Linked DNA regions of Oreochromis niloticus. The protein of the gene in region 2 purifies or fractionates together with the protein of the main gene of each other region. This does not show direct contact. Links are inferred from orthologs where the notes say so. Each region holds a gene or a part of one and is shown on either strand. Other genes may lie near its edges.

Region 1 (7,465 bases), on a different chromosome or scaffold from region 2:
TGTGTGGGGCTATACTTAGGAAATTACTTGCTTTATACTTGAGCACACATGACATACCAAGCCCACGTGAGGCGACGTCAGTAGCAATGAGGATGGGGGCTTTGCCACTCCGAAACTCTGCAACATGAGACGAATAAAAGGTGATTAGGATCAGTTATTCAATTTAATTCAGTTCAGTTTGTGTAATTATGCAAGCAGAGCCAACACATGGTTCAGGGCAGCACAACACAACAGTGCAAAGACCTGCCATACAATGAAATGTCAGTGAGTGTGTTTATTGTACCTGCTAATACCCAGTCTCTCTCTGGCTGACTCTTGTCACCATGAATACACATCGCTGGCCACCTAGAAGACAAATCAGCAACTTTAACAGCGTGTGCCTGTGTGTGTCTGCTCTTTTGATTTTCTCTACAACCATTCATCTGATGTACTACAAACCAGTGATGGGCAATTCAAGCAAAAGTACAATTCAATATTTACAGTGGACCATTTTGACAAGTCTTCAATTATTGCTCCTAAATGACTGTGCTTAGCTAAGGCTGTGGAATAGCTTAAAAAGCTCCAATATCTCCAGTCCATACACACTCCAGTGTTAAACTGCCCAACTTCAGCATAGACCATACCACTGGGTGACATCATGGTGTCCATTCTTTATTACAGTCTGCAGTTAAAACAGATGCTGGGATGAGTTGGTATACTCACCCGTCACGTCTCATCCTACGTGTCAGGTCATCACACCGTTTCTTGGTCTCAACGAAGATGATGGTCTTGTTTTCCTTCTCAGCCATAATCTCTTCCATCAGCTGGATAAGCCTGAGAAAAGCAAAAGAAGCAAATGCATTATAATTAAAGGGATGTAAACGCACACACCAAACACAGCAGATGCTGTTATTCTTAATGTGAGAAAATAATTCCTATGTGACCAGACCACCAAACTCTTACTTTTGGTCCTTTTCGCTCTCCACGCAAACATCAACAATTTGAAGGATGTTGTGGTTAGCGCTGAGCTCCAGAGCTCCAACATTGATCTGGACATAGTCCTTCAGGAAGTCCTCTGCCAGTTGGCGAACTTCTTTAGGCCAGGTAGCGCTCCACATCAGAGTCTGTCTGTCCGGCTGGGCAAAAGAACCCACCAAGTAAAACACTGTACACTAAAACAGCTTTGACTTAAAACACAAGAGTAAGCAGCAGAAAACAAAAAAACCTAAGAAAAAAACAAAAAGACAGATATAGCCTTTGAGTATTAGCGTTTACCCTGATCTGATCCACAATTTTGCGTATCTGTGGTTCGAAACCCATGTCCAGCATGCGGTCAGCCTCATCCAGAACTAGGTATGTGCAGCGCCGCAGGTTGGTCTTTCCAGCTTCCAGGAAGTCAATGAGACGACCCGGAGTGGCGATGCAGATTTCAACACCTGAGCGAGACAAAGTTAGCATGTTTCAGTGTGTAATATAATCAGTTAAACTGAAAATAAATAAGTTACAGACTAATCGAAAGTGGTTCCCAAAAGGACACAACTGTATGATTGCATGCTGTAGTAGTCTTCACCTCTCTCCAAGTCTCGTATTTGAGGTCCCTTGGGAGCACCGCCGTACACACAAGTGCTTTTGATGCGTGATGACTTTCCATAGTCATATGCCACCTGCTGGACCTGCTGAGCTAGTTCTCTTGTGGGGGCCAACACCAAGCACTGCACAGCACATATATAAAGCCACATCAATCCTCTCTTTAGTGTTTGTTAGTTTTATGTTGTGCTTTGAGGTCTCTAATACAATTAGGTTACTCCAAGGCAGACTACTCAGTGATTAGTGCTCTCCTTTTCTCTTCACGTACAATGGGTCCATCTCCACGCTCCAAGTAGGGCTGATGATTGATGTGCACAATTGCAGGCAGGAGATACTGAAAGAAGAAAAATATGGAAGACTGGTTAATCTTTCACCTGTGAAATTCATCTGTGTGATGCGTACAGGTGCAGAGGAAGACACATCTCACCGATAAAGTCTTTCCAGAGCCCGTCTGAGCAATGCCCACCATGTCTCTCCCACTGAGTGCCAAAGGGAAACCTTGAGCCTGAATGGCTGTTGGTTCCTTGAAGTTTTGCTGCACCAGTACATCCATTACATATTCTAGTTGGAAGAAGCAAAAATAAGGGACGACAAAGTTTCTGGTTATGTATGTCTGCAAACTGTCCACAGTGCTGCAGGTGTATCCATGAGTGCATGTGCTTACGAGGAAACTGTGCATGATGGAAGCTGGTGACAGGTTTTGGGCAGCCTGAGCCTCGGACTGTGATTTCTTTCTTTCTGCGATACTCCTCAACATCATACTGAGAACAAAGAGAAGAAAAGCAACAAGTGAACACAGACTAAACAACACAACAGGTGCAGCTGAAGGTCAGACTGTGACATGACGGACATAATACCTGGCTCATTCGCTGCACTTCGGAATTTTCATTATAGAAGTTTTTCTCAAATTTGGGAAGCTCATTCAGGTCCCATCTCTTCTTTCGTAAGCGTTCCCCGGGATTCCGAAACTTCTTACCCGGGGGTGGTCCGCCTCTGCTTGATCCGAATCGGGGATTGCTGGAATATGACAACGAACTGTAAGGTCAAAGCAACCGCTGCTAGTCACAATAAAAACATATAATAGGGTTTTATGATAACTAACTAGCATTAGCTGACAAGCTAACTTAGCAGTCCTCTTACCCTCTGTCACGACCACGGTCTCGGTCTCTGTCTCCGTAAGAACCTCTCATTTTGAGGGCTCTTAGTAAGTTTTCCTAATGGACCTTATCTTCTACAGGTTGTAAGGCTTTTGCTTACAGATACTTTTTCTGGCCTTGCTTGAAAACTCCAGAAGCTTCACTCGGCGAGACCGTGAATTAGCTTGGACAACTGACTAAATCAAAAATAAATTAAAATGTCGTCTTCGTAAATGCCTGCTGAAAAGTTAAGTAGCACAACCCGCCATATTTCCTTTGTGACAAGCGTCGTTAGGGTTGCAATAGTAATAAGACGCAGGAGATGGTTCTGTGTTGTTGTTAGCTTAACACAGAACCGGAAGCTGCTGTGACTGGCTGGCGGCTGGATAAGCCCCGCCCCTATACTGTGAGTGACATACTCATGGCACGCGTACGTCTGTTTACTTACTTGGCCATTTATTAAACAGCTTTGGAAACTTAATGCAATACACTCACCGGCCATTTGATCCGGTTCACGTGGTCAGCTGCTCCTTAAAGCAAACAGGCCATCAAGATGACCCGCTGAACTACAAACCGAGCTTTAGAATTTAAGGCGATTTAAGTGGCTTTGAAGATGACATGGTTGTTGGTTCCAGTCGGGCTAATCTGAGTATATCAGAAAATAGTGAAATATTACGATTTTCCCACATAACCGTCTCTAGGGTTTACAGAGAATGGTCTGAGAAAGAGAGGGAGGGGGGATAACTACTAAATAACAAAAGTAGAGTAAAAAGCATATACTGTCCAAAACATTACTTGAACAATAGACTCTGTCAATGGTGTTTGCAGGGGTTCTAATATTTTGCTAATGAGAATGATGGAGTCTACAAGCCTGCAAAAACTGCCAGAAATGTCTTTTTATTTTACTATTCATCTTTTATTTCTTTTTGAAACATCAACAGAAATCAATATAGCATCAAAACATGTGATATTACCAATATACAAACAAAAAAAATATCATACAACAAAAAAATTAAAAATAAAACAGGAGTATATATGAAATGAAACCATCAAAACACAAATATATTCAAACAGAGCACTATACCAAGCAATGGCGTCCCATTGTCGTCGTCATAAAGGTTTTGCAGCACTAAGTTTGACTTTATTTACAGCGTTCCTTCCATTTGGATATAGTATTTTCTGGATTAAAATACAATAAGCTTTGCAAAATTATGATCTGATAGTGTTTTGAAGAAAATGCTCAAGTATGAAACGCTCAGAACAAACACACTCGACCTTGATTTTAACTGAAGCAATGCAGGTTTAGTAGAAAGATACACAAGTGATGCGGTCACTGGGGTGGGAGGCGGGTGGCGGCTGGATGGGATGTGGGTCACAGATGGAATCCAAACACTTTCACCCACCTTCTCTTGACCGAATATGATTTTCTCATTAGGACATAAACTGAAAACACACACATCACTTTGGCTGGGTTGACTCCTTTTCTCGCAAAGGGTTGGGCGGTGATGTACTATGTGTCGACCCGCAGTCACTACCTCCAGTCTGTTAAATGGATATACACTCAACATAAACAGAATCTCAGCTTTTATACAGCTGTGCTCTGCCATTAAAACATTTAGAACCACAAACCACATGCGAGTTATATACCAGCCACTGTGTAAACGCATATTAAACATAACTGGATAAAATATGAATGCATAACTCAAACAGTTCCAGCCATCTTTTGGAAAAAGAAAACATAATGCCAACCAGAGGATTTCTGGCCAGCCTGAAGGTGTTTAGTCACTTTTCATGTCCCTGTACTGACCACCAAGTTTAAAATGCTCAATATATTCAAGTACAAATGTGATTTCAATCTGATTTAAAGCCTTGTTTTCACCAACATATCTTCGCATTCTCTATCTGTAGCGACTGACAACGTGACATATTTGCCGCTGCTGTCGTAGTGATGCCATTACAAATGACACCAGCAGAGGCAGCGCCAATCTGTGCAGCATGTAATGCCATTAATTATGAGATCACAATCCAGGGTGCATCACAGCTGGGCCGACTGTGCAGGAAAGTGTTGCTCCATCAGTAATCTGTAATCTGTGTGGGCGCTGTCCTTCCGTCAGTCCTCCTGCCTACGCTAAAAATCTCTCCTACAGCTGTTACTGTGCTTCTCCCCAAACAATAGAGAGTCTGGCCAACAGCTGGAATGCCATTACATTACATAATGATGACATCCTCAGTAAACTCATAAAATTTCTAGGATAACAATAACATAAACCTTCGAGCTCAAACAACATTTAGATAAAATATTTATTTGTCATTGAAGTCATATATTAAAAATAACCCCTGCAATTCAAAGGCTACTTGAAAAAAAATTAAAAAACAATCCTAAACTTTAAGACAGTGTCTTGTTATTTGGAGCACAGGGTGCTATTTGGCAATATATAGTTACAAAGAGTGAGAGCACTAGCAGAGAGGTGAGGAGGAATATTGATTATGAATCAGTGTAAAGCGTAAAGAATAAAGAGGCCATGTGTCTCAGAAGAAGATGGCACTTACTTTCTCCAGCTCATATCTAACATTTTTAATGCCATAGTGTCATTAGTGCAGGATTAAGATGGTATAATGCAGGCACAGTTATCTGTACGAATCCATTTTCCACGGGTGAATACAAAAATCGCATTTCTTTCAGCGATGGCCTAAAATCACAACTAAAACAACACAAATAACAGCTTGGCCAGTTAAAGAATCAACCTCACTCCTCCCTCACTTTATTTGTAATATCTACATTCTTTTCACGCTCCTCATTTCCGTGCTGTAGCAATCATTTCCTTTTTCCTTAGAAAAGGACTCTGCCCTGTCTCGGTTTCAGCAATCTGGCAACCATGACATAAATCTGATCTTTCACTGTTATCTAAATGTGAAATAACCAGAACCACAGCCTGAACTTCCACGTTGAGGTCGGAAAAAAAGATCAGATTCGTCTTCCATGGCTGCTAAAAACTTGAGAAGGGCTACAGGAGTAAGGGTTAGCTTCCGAGTGTGTGTTTGAGTCTCAGAACTCATCATCAGAGCTGAGTAAAAGAGTCTTTTCGTTGTCCCCGCGGGTGCTGATGTTACTGTGGCTGCGGGAGAGTGGTGGCCCTCCACTTCGCTCTAATGTGGACTGCTGGGTGTACTGCTGATAAGCTGGGGAGAAGTTATGGATGGCGTCCTGGACCATGTCTCCTGGATTCATCGTCTCCTTCAGGCTGCTGGAAATGCTCTTCATTGGGGCACAGCGACCTGGAGGTGTGATGGGAAGGTGGTAAATATTAAGAACGAGACACTGAATGGAAGCGATACATGAGCGAAAAAAGAAAGAAACTATGTTTCCATCCCAACTGCCAGCTGGATTGTCCAAATAAACCTAAGCAATGTTGCAAAGAATATAAAATATATTAAGATAAATATTATCACTCCATCTGGCATATTTATTATCAAGGCAAGGGTTTACGACAAGGGTAGGACCACAGACTGAACAAAGTGGGAAGGCAAAATGACGAAGGGCGGAATTAACTGACAGCAAAATAAATGAAAGAACACAAAACAACACAGCGAAATATCCATAATTTCAAAATCTAATGGAAACATCAATATCTGCATTTTCTATACAATGCTGCAAATGAAACACTGAACTGAAACACATAACACAAGCGATGGAAATGTAATTTCCTTTTAAACCACAATCAAAGAGAAAAAAAAGACATCAAATTCCATTTTAACATAAACAACTGAGTCACATACAGACAAAACATAGCTAACATCAGACGTACCGTACTGTCCATAGATAGGAAATGAGCCTTGAGTGCCGCAGAGTGAAGGAGGAGGAAAAGGAGAGAAAGAGATAAGAAACACAAGAAGGTCAAGATGAAAATAAAAGAATAGAAAAGAGGGCAGATGAAAAGAGAACAACTCAAAATAAACAGATTGTTAAAGATAGGAATCAAAGTAAAGAGGGAGGGACACAAAGAGTGAGGTCAGATTAGCTTTGAAAGACTTCATCAAGAACCCTCTGTTAATCACATAATTACAATATTATAATACTCTGTTAGTTGCTCTTTGAACATTTCACTCTCTACTACAACCAGACATCAAGGCACACACATAAACATGCCGCTTACCATATGAATCCAGCCTTTTGTCCATGTAGACCTTGTAAGTAAAAGCATGGCGCAAAGCAATAGCAGCAAAGAACATCTCAATGCAGATGATGAAGTTTTGGTAGCCAGCAGCAACTGTTCCCTCCCCCACAGAGAAATCAGCAGAGTTGATCTGGGGGATAGCGCCACACTTCTCCAGGATGGCCAACAACATCCCTGAAATATACAAAGATAAAATATGAAAACATAAATCAAAACAGTGATGTATTACTCCATGAGAGTTCAGCAACATTTGAATCTGTGCATGGAAATCATGACAAGAGACTAAGCAGCAACCTTTAGTGTTGGAAATGTAAGCGCAAGGCTAAAAAAAGTTACATTTTTCATCTGTTTTGATATTTTAAATGTGAAAATATTGATTCTAAGACTCTATTTCAGCCACATTACTGGAAACAACATCAATGCCCCAATGGGCCAGTGGCGAGCAAGCAGCAGTTCCCTTGAGGCTGGCTCCAAAGGTGAGTCAAATCTCATAGACTGATGTTAAAATGCCCAAAACTGGCACCGAAATAAACGTATTTGAACCTGGCACAAAAAACCTTTTTGGTCTGTAAAGCTAACAGACAGGTT
Region 2 (8,112 bases):
GAAATAGATGGTTAATTACTGTGTCTTCTTGTAATTGATGTCATTTACTTTTGAGGGGTTTTTTTTAAACAACCATTTACACATCTAGATTAACTTAAAGTGCCATTTCCCGCCTTTTTTGGCATTTTCTCAACCCACTGAAATAGGGACAAATACATATTGTCACCGGTAGCTCTTTAGAAACCTATGAGACTCTGAAAAACCACCAATGAATTGCCAAAAAATGAATAATAAATAAAACTTATCAAGAAAATGTACTGACCCAAATACTGCACTCTAGTAAAACACAAACGGGCATGTGAAATGGAACTTAATGTGCTACATGAGCCCAGCGTCCATTTATACATTTCTTAAAATACCTGTCGTGATATGACCTTACAGGACTAGACTCCAGCATCTAACTGTATTATTCCAGTTAGTCACCCTATAGAGAATAATTCAGCATGCTGAGAAACTGAACTGGTGGGAAACTAAAGAAAGTAGGGTTAGAATTCTGTATGTATTTATGTAGATATTCTTACAGATTGTACCATGTTCCCTGACAAACGTTGAAATCTGAAACTACGTTTTTCTATCCTATACTGTTGATACTGCCCAGTAATCAAATCATGGTCTAGGATATAAGCTGTCCAACCTAAATTTTATGCACAGGTCTGTGATCAAAATCTGCACTTTTTTTTTTCCTTCTTCTTACCTTTGGCCAAGAGAGAGGCAGGGTTGAGACAAAACTCATTCTTATACAACATATGCCACTGCATGTATTATACTAGATACATGCAATTCATTAGCGCTGATTGCTGATGAATCAGTATCAAATACTAATAAATTCCCCTTACAAGACTGCCGTTATGTTTTACTGTATTATTCTGATGTTACAGCAGGGTTTGTCTCAGCTCTGCCTCAAATGGCAACGGCACCTGCAGAGACTGAATAAATGTGAGATTAAGTGCTTAAGAAAGACACTTACCCCATGCCGCGCCCCATGCCTCCACGCCCACGATGCATCATTCCACCTCGGTCAAAGTCCCTTCCAGGGCCCCTGCTCTCCCCTACTCCAGGGTACCGCGTAGGCTCAGAGCCTGGATAACCAGAACCTCCACCCTGCCCATCCTGCCTGTAACTGTCTACAAGAGGAACAACAACATCAAAACATGCAGTCGTCACAGAATGATCACAGTGGAATTGAACACATGTGTTTAGTTGAGAGAACAGCTGTTTAGGCAGGAGGAAAGCAAAGCTTACTGTAATGGCTGGACTGGTTGTAACTGGGTGGTCCACCTTGCTGGTTGTACTGGTTGGCTGGAGGCTGCCCGTATGATCCACCGGCCTGAGGAGGGTAAGCAGGAGGAGCTTGTTGCTGTGGCTGGGTCTGCTGTTGGTATCCCTGCTGCTGGTTGTAGCCTGCCTGCTGGCCTTGGTAACCAGGTTGTTGACCATATGCTGCTGGCTGGGAGTAGCTATTCTGGCTGTAAGTAGCTGGCTGGCTGTTAGCATTGTAACTGATGGAGACAAAGCAAAGACAGAATGCAAGTAATCCGATAAGCATGTTCTTCTGGAATTCCCATGTTTTGTTGTTGTCAGATGAGATGTCCATACCTCTGAGGGGCAGTGGGAGCAGCCTGTTGGCCATAACCAGGGTAGGCAGACTGAGCCGTGTATCCTGGCTGAGAGCCATAAGACTGGGAGGCAGCTGGAGCAGCAGCAGCAGGAGTACTGTCATAACCACTGGCTCCGTAACCCTGGGTTGACTGTGAATAGCTGTGAGTAGCAGACTGGGCAGCAGGGTAGCCAGCTGTACAAAAGACATCACATATCACAAAGGGAAAAAAAGAAATTTGATATTCATTCCTGTTAATTTTTCAGGAATCAATACAAGCTTTGCCACATTGTAATTTGACTGTTTAACAACAGAATAATTAAAAAAAAACAAAAGCTGACCTGATGCTGGTTGGCCATATGATCCAGATCCATACTGTTGCTGCTGCTGGGGGTAGCCTCCAGCTGCAGGTGTTGTCTGACTGTAACTGCTATCAGCAGCTGCTGCAGCAGGTTGGGTATATGAGCCATAATTCTGCTGGCCATAGCTTTGCTGAAAGAGCAAATACAGTAGCCATTAGGCAAAATAAACCTCAACTAAGCATTATTTAAAAGCTCCATTTGCTTAAAGCACAAACAACCTATGACTGCCAGCAGTAAACAAATAACCATCCCAGGTTTTCCCCACAATCATTAAATGTTTTAAGCACAAGGCATGCTTTGATCAAATCTGCACAATTAAATCAATAATGGTACCTGAGCAGATTGTCCATAATTCTGTGAGGGCTGGGCAGCATAGGAAGCATACCTGTAAACATATGCATCAAAATTTTAGGATCACCAGAAATCTGGGTACTGCCTGAAAAAACATATCATGCTGTGCACTGTTTAAAAATGGTCTTTATCTAAAAGATGTTTACTACGACCTAAAGAAGGTCACAAAAACACCAAAAGTAATCCATGTTTGGATATCGATTTTTAAAAAAAATTATACAGGTTTACATTTGCATCCACCCTAATCTCCGCTTTGTTTCCTTTCTTCGAAAGAATTAGGTCATATTGGATGGTTAAAAATCTCTAAGCCATTTTAATAAAGTTAACTGAAAAATCTTACCCCTGTTGAGCCCCGGTCTGGTTGTAGGAGCTGTAATCTGAAAATGGGGAAAAAGGTTAGTTTAAAAAAATAAAACAAAAAACAATAGAGTCTCAGATCTCAGCGCGCGAGCCGCACGTTACAGGCCCGTTCTTATGTCGCCATTCAAAACCGAGACAACTGAGCCATTCACTAAACCTAAACACTACTTCACAGCTAACGAAACCAGTCAGACATCGACGCACCCGTTAAACAGGATTCATTTTAAATCGGTAATATGCGGAAAAACCCAGTGTGCGCAAATGAAAAAACATATCCGGAGTAAATACCACAAAGACTCGACGTGCTAACTTGTCTAGGCCTCGGACGCGGAGGGAACTGGGTTCATGTTATTCAATAAAGAAAAGTGGCTAAAAAAGACGAACTATGCAAACATACTCACAATTAGGATACATTCATGCAAATTAATGTTTCAATAAATAACAAAATTTACTTTAAAAGTCAGTAATTGTCGCATTTTTTTTTACTCACCCGAAGCAGACGCCATTTTAGTGTGCCTATAAGAGACGAATGGACGAAGAATGCTACCGCAGAAGTGCAACTCTCTTCGCGGCAACCGCGAAATCTCGCGACATAACGCGATACTGTTTGGGGGCTGTTGTAGCGAAAGCATTACAGGTTTACAAATCAGATTAGATCAGGGGTGTCCAAAGTCCGAGTTGGCCCGCGGTCCATTTTTAATTGGCCCTCAAGTAATTTTATAAATAGAATAGAAAATGGCCCGCACTTCAACTTTTGCTTGAGTGTATTGCACTTCTTAGTTTTAACACCAGGGGGAGCTACTGTTGATCAAGGCAGTTGGTCTACCAAAAAGGACAATCACAGAAGAAATTTACCCCAAGTTACCAAACATGGCAGAAGCAAAAGGTAGAAAGCAGTGATGGCCAAATGAAGCTTTCTGAAGCACTGAAGCTTGTATTGAAAAACGGTTCATTACTCGAAGCTTTTCAACACAGTCCTCTCTGGTGACATCTGGTGGCCAAAAATATGAAGAGCAGCTTGAATCCACAAAATAAAACCAACTGCTTCATAATGATAGCCCACTATACAGAGTGGAACTCTGTCTCATATTGGGCTGCTGTTGTGTTGCTTTGAACGTGTATTTTTTGGTGTTAAAAAATGTAGTTTATTTGTTTAATAAATAATTTTGACAAGTAAACTTTCCTTGTGTGAACATGCACCATGGTTTGGTCTTTCTTTGCTTGTGACTTCTTGATGTTGGTAAATACAATAATTGAAAAATACCACGTTACATATAACATACATATAATAATGCACATTATGCAGTATGCTTCTGCTGTGAGGTCCTGCCTCCATGTACTTATGCATTTAATCTCTAGACGGGTATATTTATAAATAATATTATATTAGGGAAATTTTCCTATACATATTTTTGACCTGGGGGTAGAATTGATTGTGAAATGGAAAGGGAAAATGCTTATGAACTTGCAAATTAATAACATGATGCATTTAAGGAAACCCTTTTTCATTTTTATTTAAGAAGAAAATTAGTTCCACTGTGCGATGGACGAATCTGTTCCTTTTCGTGGAGATAATTTCTCCTGCCTTAAGGAAAATCCCTTCACATGGCACAGAAGAGAAGAGGCTAGAGTGCAGAAAAACTGGTAGAGATGCAGTTATGGCTCCACAAACTATCGGCTAAAGAGAATAAATAAATTAAATTGCTGCACATTTTGTAGACTAACATTGTAAGATTATTTTTTTAAATAAAATATATCTTTTTATAACATTAAATGTTACGAGTCAAATGGAAGTTATTTACTGATATTTATATTATGAAAAGCAGATTTTTTACATTTTAAGTTTTTCCCGTTTTCAGATAAAATAAAGACGCACAAAACAAAAGCAAACAGCCAGAACACAAAGCTGGAAAACCCACCCGATTGACCAGAATCAACTCAAAATACTTCCACACAACAGAACCAAATCTCTCAGTAGAATGATCAGTGGTTCGCTATCTGTCACCATCAACACACTCCACAAATCCCGCAAATGATTCACTTCGTTCCATTTGAATCAGATACCGAAGCAGTTGCGTGCGTAATAAAGCTTCGGACGTCACTGGTCACGTGACTTTTGCTAAACGAAGCAAGCCTCGACACAGTGCTTCTGAACCAGTGTGTTGTTTTTTTCGACACACGCTCCGGAGCGTCAGCTTCAAGCGGGCCATCACTAGTAGAAAGTGTGTAATGAACCGCTGATCTGTACCATAAGTCATCCTTGCGGGGGTTGTCGGAACTGTATGCGCAGTCGCACTAAGGACAGATGTGCTCAGAGGCATGCCCCGTAACGTGTATGAGCGGTCTGTCGTGCGGCAGGAATAAGTTGTACAAAGTCCATCTTAGACATGTGTGTCATGCAAGCTAGCAGCATCCCATGAGAAACGGGCCGAAGTGTTTAAGTGTTCACCGGAGTTTGCACCCTTGGCAAGCGGACTGAGGTATGTGATGAGAGGTGATCTGTTGTTATATTTTATTTAACCGAACTGTGTAACCCCTTGATGCTGTTTGAAGTAACCCCTTTTTGTTTTATTTAATCTGTGACTGTATATCTCAGAATTACTTGTTTGAACTTACCTGAATTAACTTGAGCTCATTGTTGTTATTGCTCATTGTTATACTTCAAAAGGACTGTACGGGTATCAATTTTTTCTTGTTTTATAGTTTTCACGGTGCTCAATGTCCAGAGAATGAGGCGTGTGTGGTGAGGAAATAAATGGCTGCACCCGTTAGAGACTCTTTTGTCATTCTTGATGCCAAGGGCTGCTACAAAGTGAGTGCAGAAAATTTCAGACACGGTGGGAGAGTGAATATTTTTTCAAAGAATTAAAGGGGAAGTGTGTCTGTTTGATCTGCACTGAAACTGTGGCAGTTATGAAAGAGTATAATGTACGACGTCATTATGAAACCAAACATCAGGCCTATGCATCCTACACTGGTGCTGAGCGAGAGCAGAAATTAAAGCAAAGGGTAGCTATCCTGCGGGGTCAGCAACAGTATTTTTTTCGTGCTCAAATTGTCCAGGAAAAGGCTCCAATAGCCAGTTATGAGGTCGCCCAACTCATCGCAAGACATGGCAAGCCTTTTTCAGATGGAGACCTCATAAAACGCTGCCTCGTTAAAGTCACCGAAATAATGTGCCCGGAAAAAGTGCAGGACTTCAACAACGTCAGCATGTCCAGAAATACAGTTGTGCCACGCACTGAAGACTGTCAGCCAACATTAAACTGCAACTGTCTGATAAAGCTGTGCTTTTGATTTTTACTCCATCGCATGCGATGAGAGCACCGATGCCACAGACACCGCACAGCTGCTAATTTATTTATTTTTTTGCGGGGAGTGGACGAGAGCACGAGCACTTTAGGTGAGTAAAAACTACATTCCACAGTACCCGCGTGTTAATATGCATGCATGTGCAGGTACACATGCTTCAAATATCAATAATGCGTATCAATTCTGTCACTACCCTGCTTTTGCGCACCACTTTCTTATATGCGTTTTTCTTGTTAACACACAGAGTACACACCGCTGTGCACAGCGCACGCACACGCAAAGTCAGCTGATCTCATCTGATGCAGATCTGCTCCTTGATCAAGTGACATTTGTCCGGATTTCTGGCACGAGTGGCGTACGATGAGCACCGCGGCTGGATGGCCCGATTTACATACCCAGCGCAGCTGATACTCACCAGAATAATTTACTAAAATTATATGCACTCCTGTTATTAAGTCCAGTTCAATCTGTTAATGTTGATAACCGTTTCAAACGAACGTTAATAGGTGTGTTGCTAAGCCTAAGAACTTAAATAATAAGCTTGAAATGTACCCGTCCCATTTTCCCCTTTATTGTTTTTCCTCTGTACTGTAAATCTTCTGTCCAAGAAGAAATCTGCTGCTGTTCTGAGAATGAGCTACCAAAGCTTTTTCTGAATAAATCAATAAAGATCCATTTATGGAAAGCTGTGATGAAGGCAGTTTTGTCTTTAATTATATTCAACAATATAACACATTTGACCACTTTTAAATGATTTTTCTAACATTAATACACTACAGTTAAGGTTATATACCTAATTTCTAGTAAGTGGCCCAGCCCCTCCTATATTTTTATGTATGTGGCCCTCAGGGATAAAAGTTTGGACACCCCTGGTCTAAAGTCTTTCATCTTTAATAAAATGATCAGCGTTCTTCTCTACCAGGTGTAACAACTGAGTTTAACATCCAGGCATCCATGAAAACGGAATTTATGACATTTAACGGAGCTAGAAGTTAGCAGGAAGTTAGCTCGCTAGCTTCTATCTAAATACAACATAGCATGTCCTGACTGCGGGGTTTTGGAAACAAATTAAAACGTACAGCTCTGTTATCACTTCCAACATAAATGAAGACAGAAAACTAAACAGCAGTGACGTTTGTAGGGTTACTGAAGTTTGGCTAGCTGGTATATAATGATGTGCTACGTGACCGCTAGCGACACAGCTGTGTTAGCATAATATAAACAAGCTAACTTTTTTTCCCACTCGATAAAAGTTAACGTGAGTGTTCTCGGTGGTCAGGAACAAATGTAATCGCATGGCAGGATGCTGTAAACGGACCAAACTTCAGCCAGGAGAACAACTGAGATAATCCATCCACAATACGAGGTTAGTCATTAATATACTGCTGCATGGGCTGGGCTGTAGTTACATCCTAAGGTTTTAAAAACTGAGCTTAAATAAATGTTTAGCGGTAATAAAAGCCGAGGGAGGTCAACAGTGATCACTGACTGTTTTAGGAGCTTTTTGAGATTAAATAGAAGAAAATACAAAACATTAAACATGTTAACAACACAAAAGCCATATTAAACGCAGACTACTTTAGGCCCGGAAGTAGGATTCGTCACGTCATCACTTAACGACCGGATTCTTCTGTTGTTAATTTTTATTTTAATTTATTAATTTTTTAATTAATTTTTAAGTCAGGTTGTTATTGAGTTTAATCGCTTTTTCTGAAAATCCATTCCATTTGAAGTATTTATGAATAAAGTGATAAAGTTCATTTTGAAATATTTAATTATAAAATATCTCTTTATTGTACATTAAATTATCAAGCAATGAATTTTATACATACATACATACACACACACACACACACACACACACACATATAAAAACACCCAGCACGCCCCTGCGGGCGGTTTATCCTTCAAGCTCGGGTCCTCTACCAGAGGCCTGGGAGCTTGAGGGTCCTGCGCAGTATCTTAGCTGTTCCCAGGACTGCGCTCTTCTGGACAGAGATCTCCGATGTTGTTCCCGGGATCTGCTGGAGCCACTCGCCTAGCTTGGGAGTCACCGCACCTAGTGCTCCGATTACCACGGGGACCACAGTTACCTTCACCCTCCACATCCTCTCGAGCTCTTCTCTGAGC

The links.
Region 1: the proteins of ewsr1b (region 2) and probable ATP-dependent RNA helicase DDX17 purify together in Homo sapiens (affinity purification with mass spectrometry; 3 studies listed by BioGRID, with this or other methods). This does not show direct contact. The link is inferred for Oreochromis niloticus from reciprocal best matches to the Homo sapiens genes EWSR1 and DDX17.

What each region holds. Positions count from the first base shown.
Region 1 is NC_031969.2:9,880,869-9,888,333, reverse strand, and holds the start of probable ATP-dependent RNA helicase DDX17, read right to left. Parts: upstream 3,083-7,465; 5' UTR 2,757-3,082; coding exon 2,707-2,756; intron 2,584-2,706; coding exon 2,424-2,583; intron 2,328-2,423; coding exon 2,231-2,327; intron 2,128-2,230; coding exon 1,994-2,127; intron 1,901-1,993; coding exon 1,835-1,900; intron 1,692-1,834; coding exon 1,550-1,691; intron 1,416-1,549; coding exon 1,255-1,415; intron 1,116-1,254; coding exon 943-1,115; intron 814-942; coding exon 703-813; intron 346-702; coding exon 284-345; intron 118-283; coding exon 58-117; intron 1-57. Other genes in the region: transmembrane protein 184B, read right to left, coding at 5,749-5,978, 6,509-6,535, 6,857-7,051. UniProt on the Homo sapiens protein: As an RNA helicase, unwinds RNA and alters RNA structures through ATP binding and hydrolysis.
Region 2 is NC_031977.2:18,648,632-18,656,743, reverse strand, and holds the start of ewsr1b (EWS RNA-binding protein 1b), read right to left. Parts: upstream 3,278-8,112; 5' UTR 3,177-3,277; coding exon 3,161-3,176; intron 2,688-3,160; coding exon 2,651-2,687; intron 2,345-2,650; coding exon 2,293-2,344; intron 2,090-2,292; coding exon 1,939-2,089; intron 1,793-1,938; coding exon 1,597-1,792; intron 1,500-1,596; coding exon 1,243-1,499; intron 1,125-1,242; coding exon 968-1,124; intron 1-967. UniProt on the Homo sapiens protein: Binds to ssRNA containing the consensus sequence 5'-AGGUAA-3'. Might normally function as a transcriptional repressor. EWS-fusion-proteins (EFPS) may play a role in the tumorigenic process.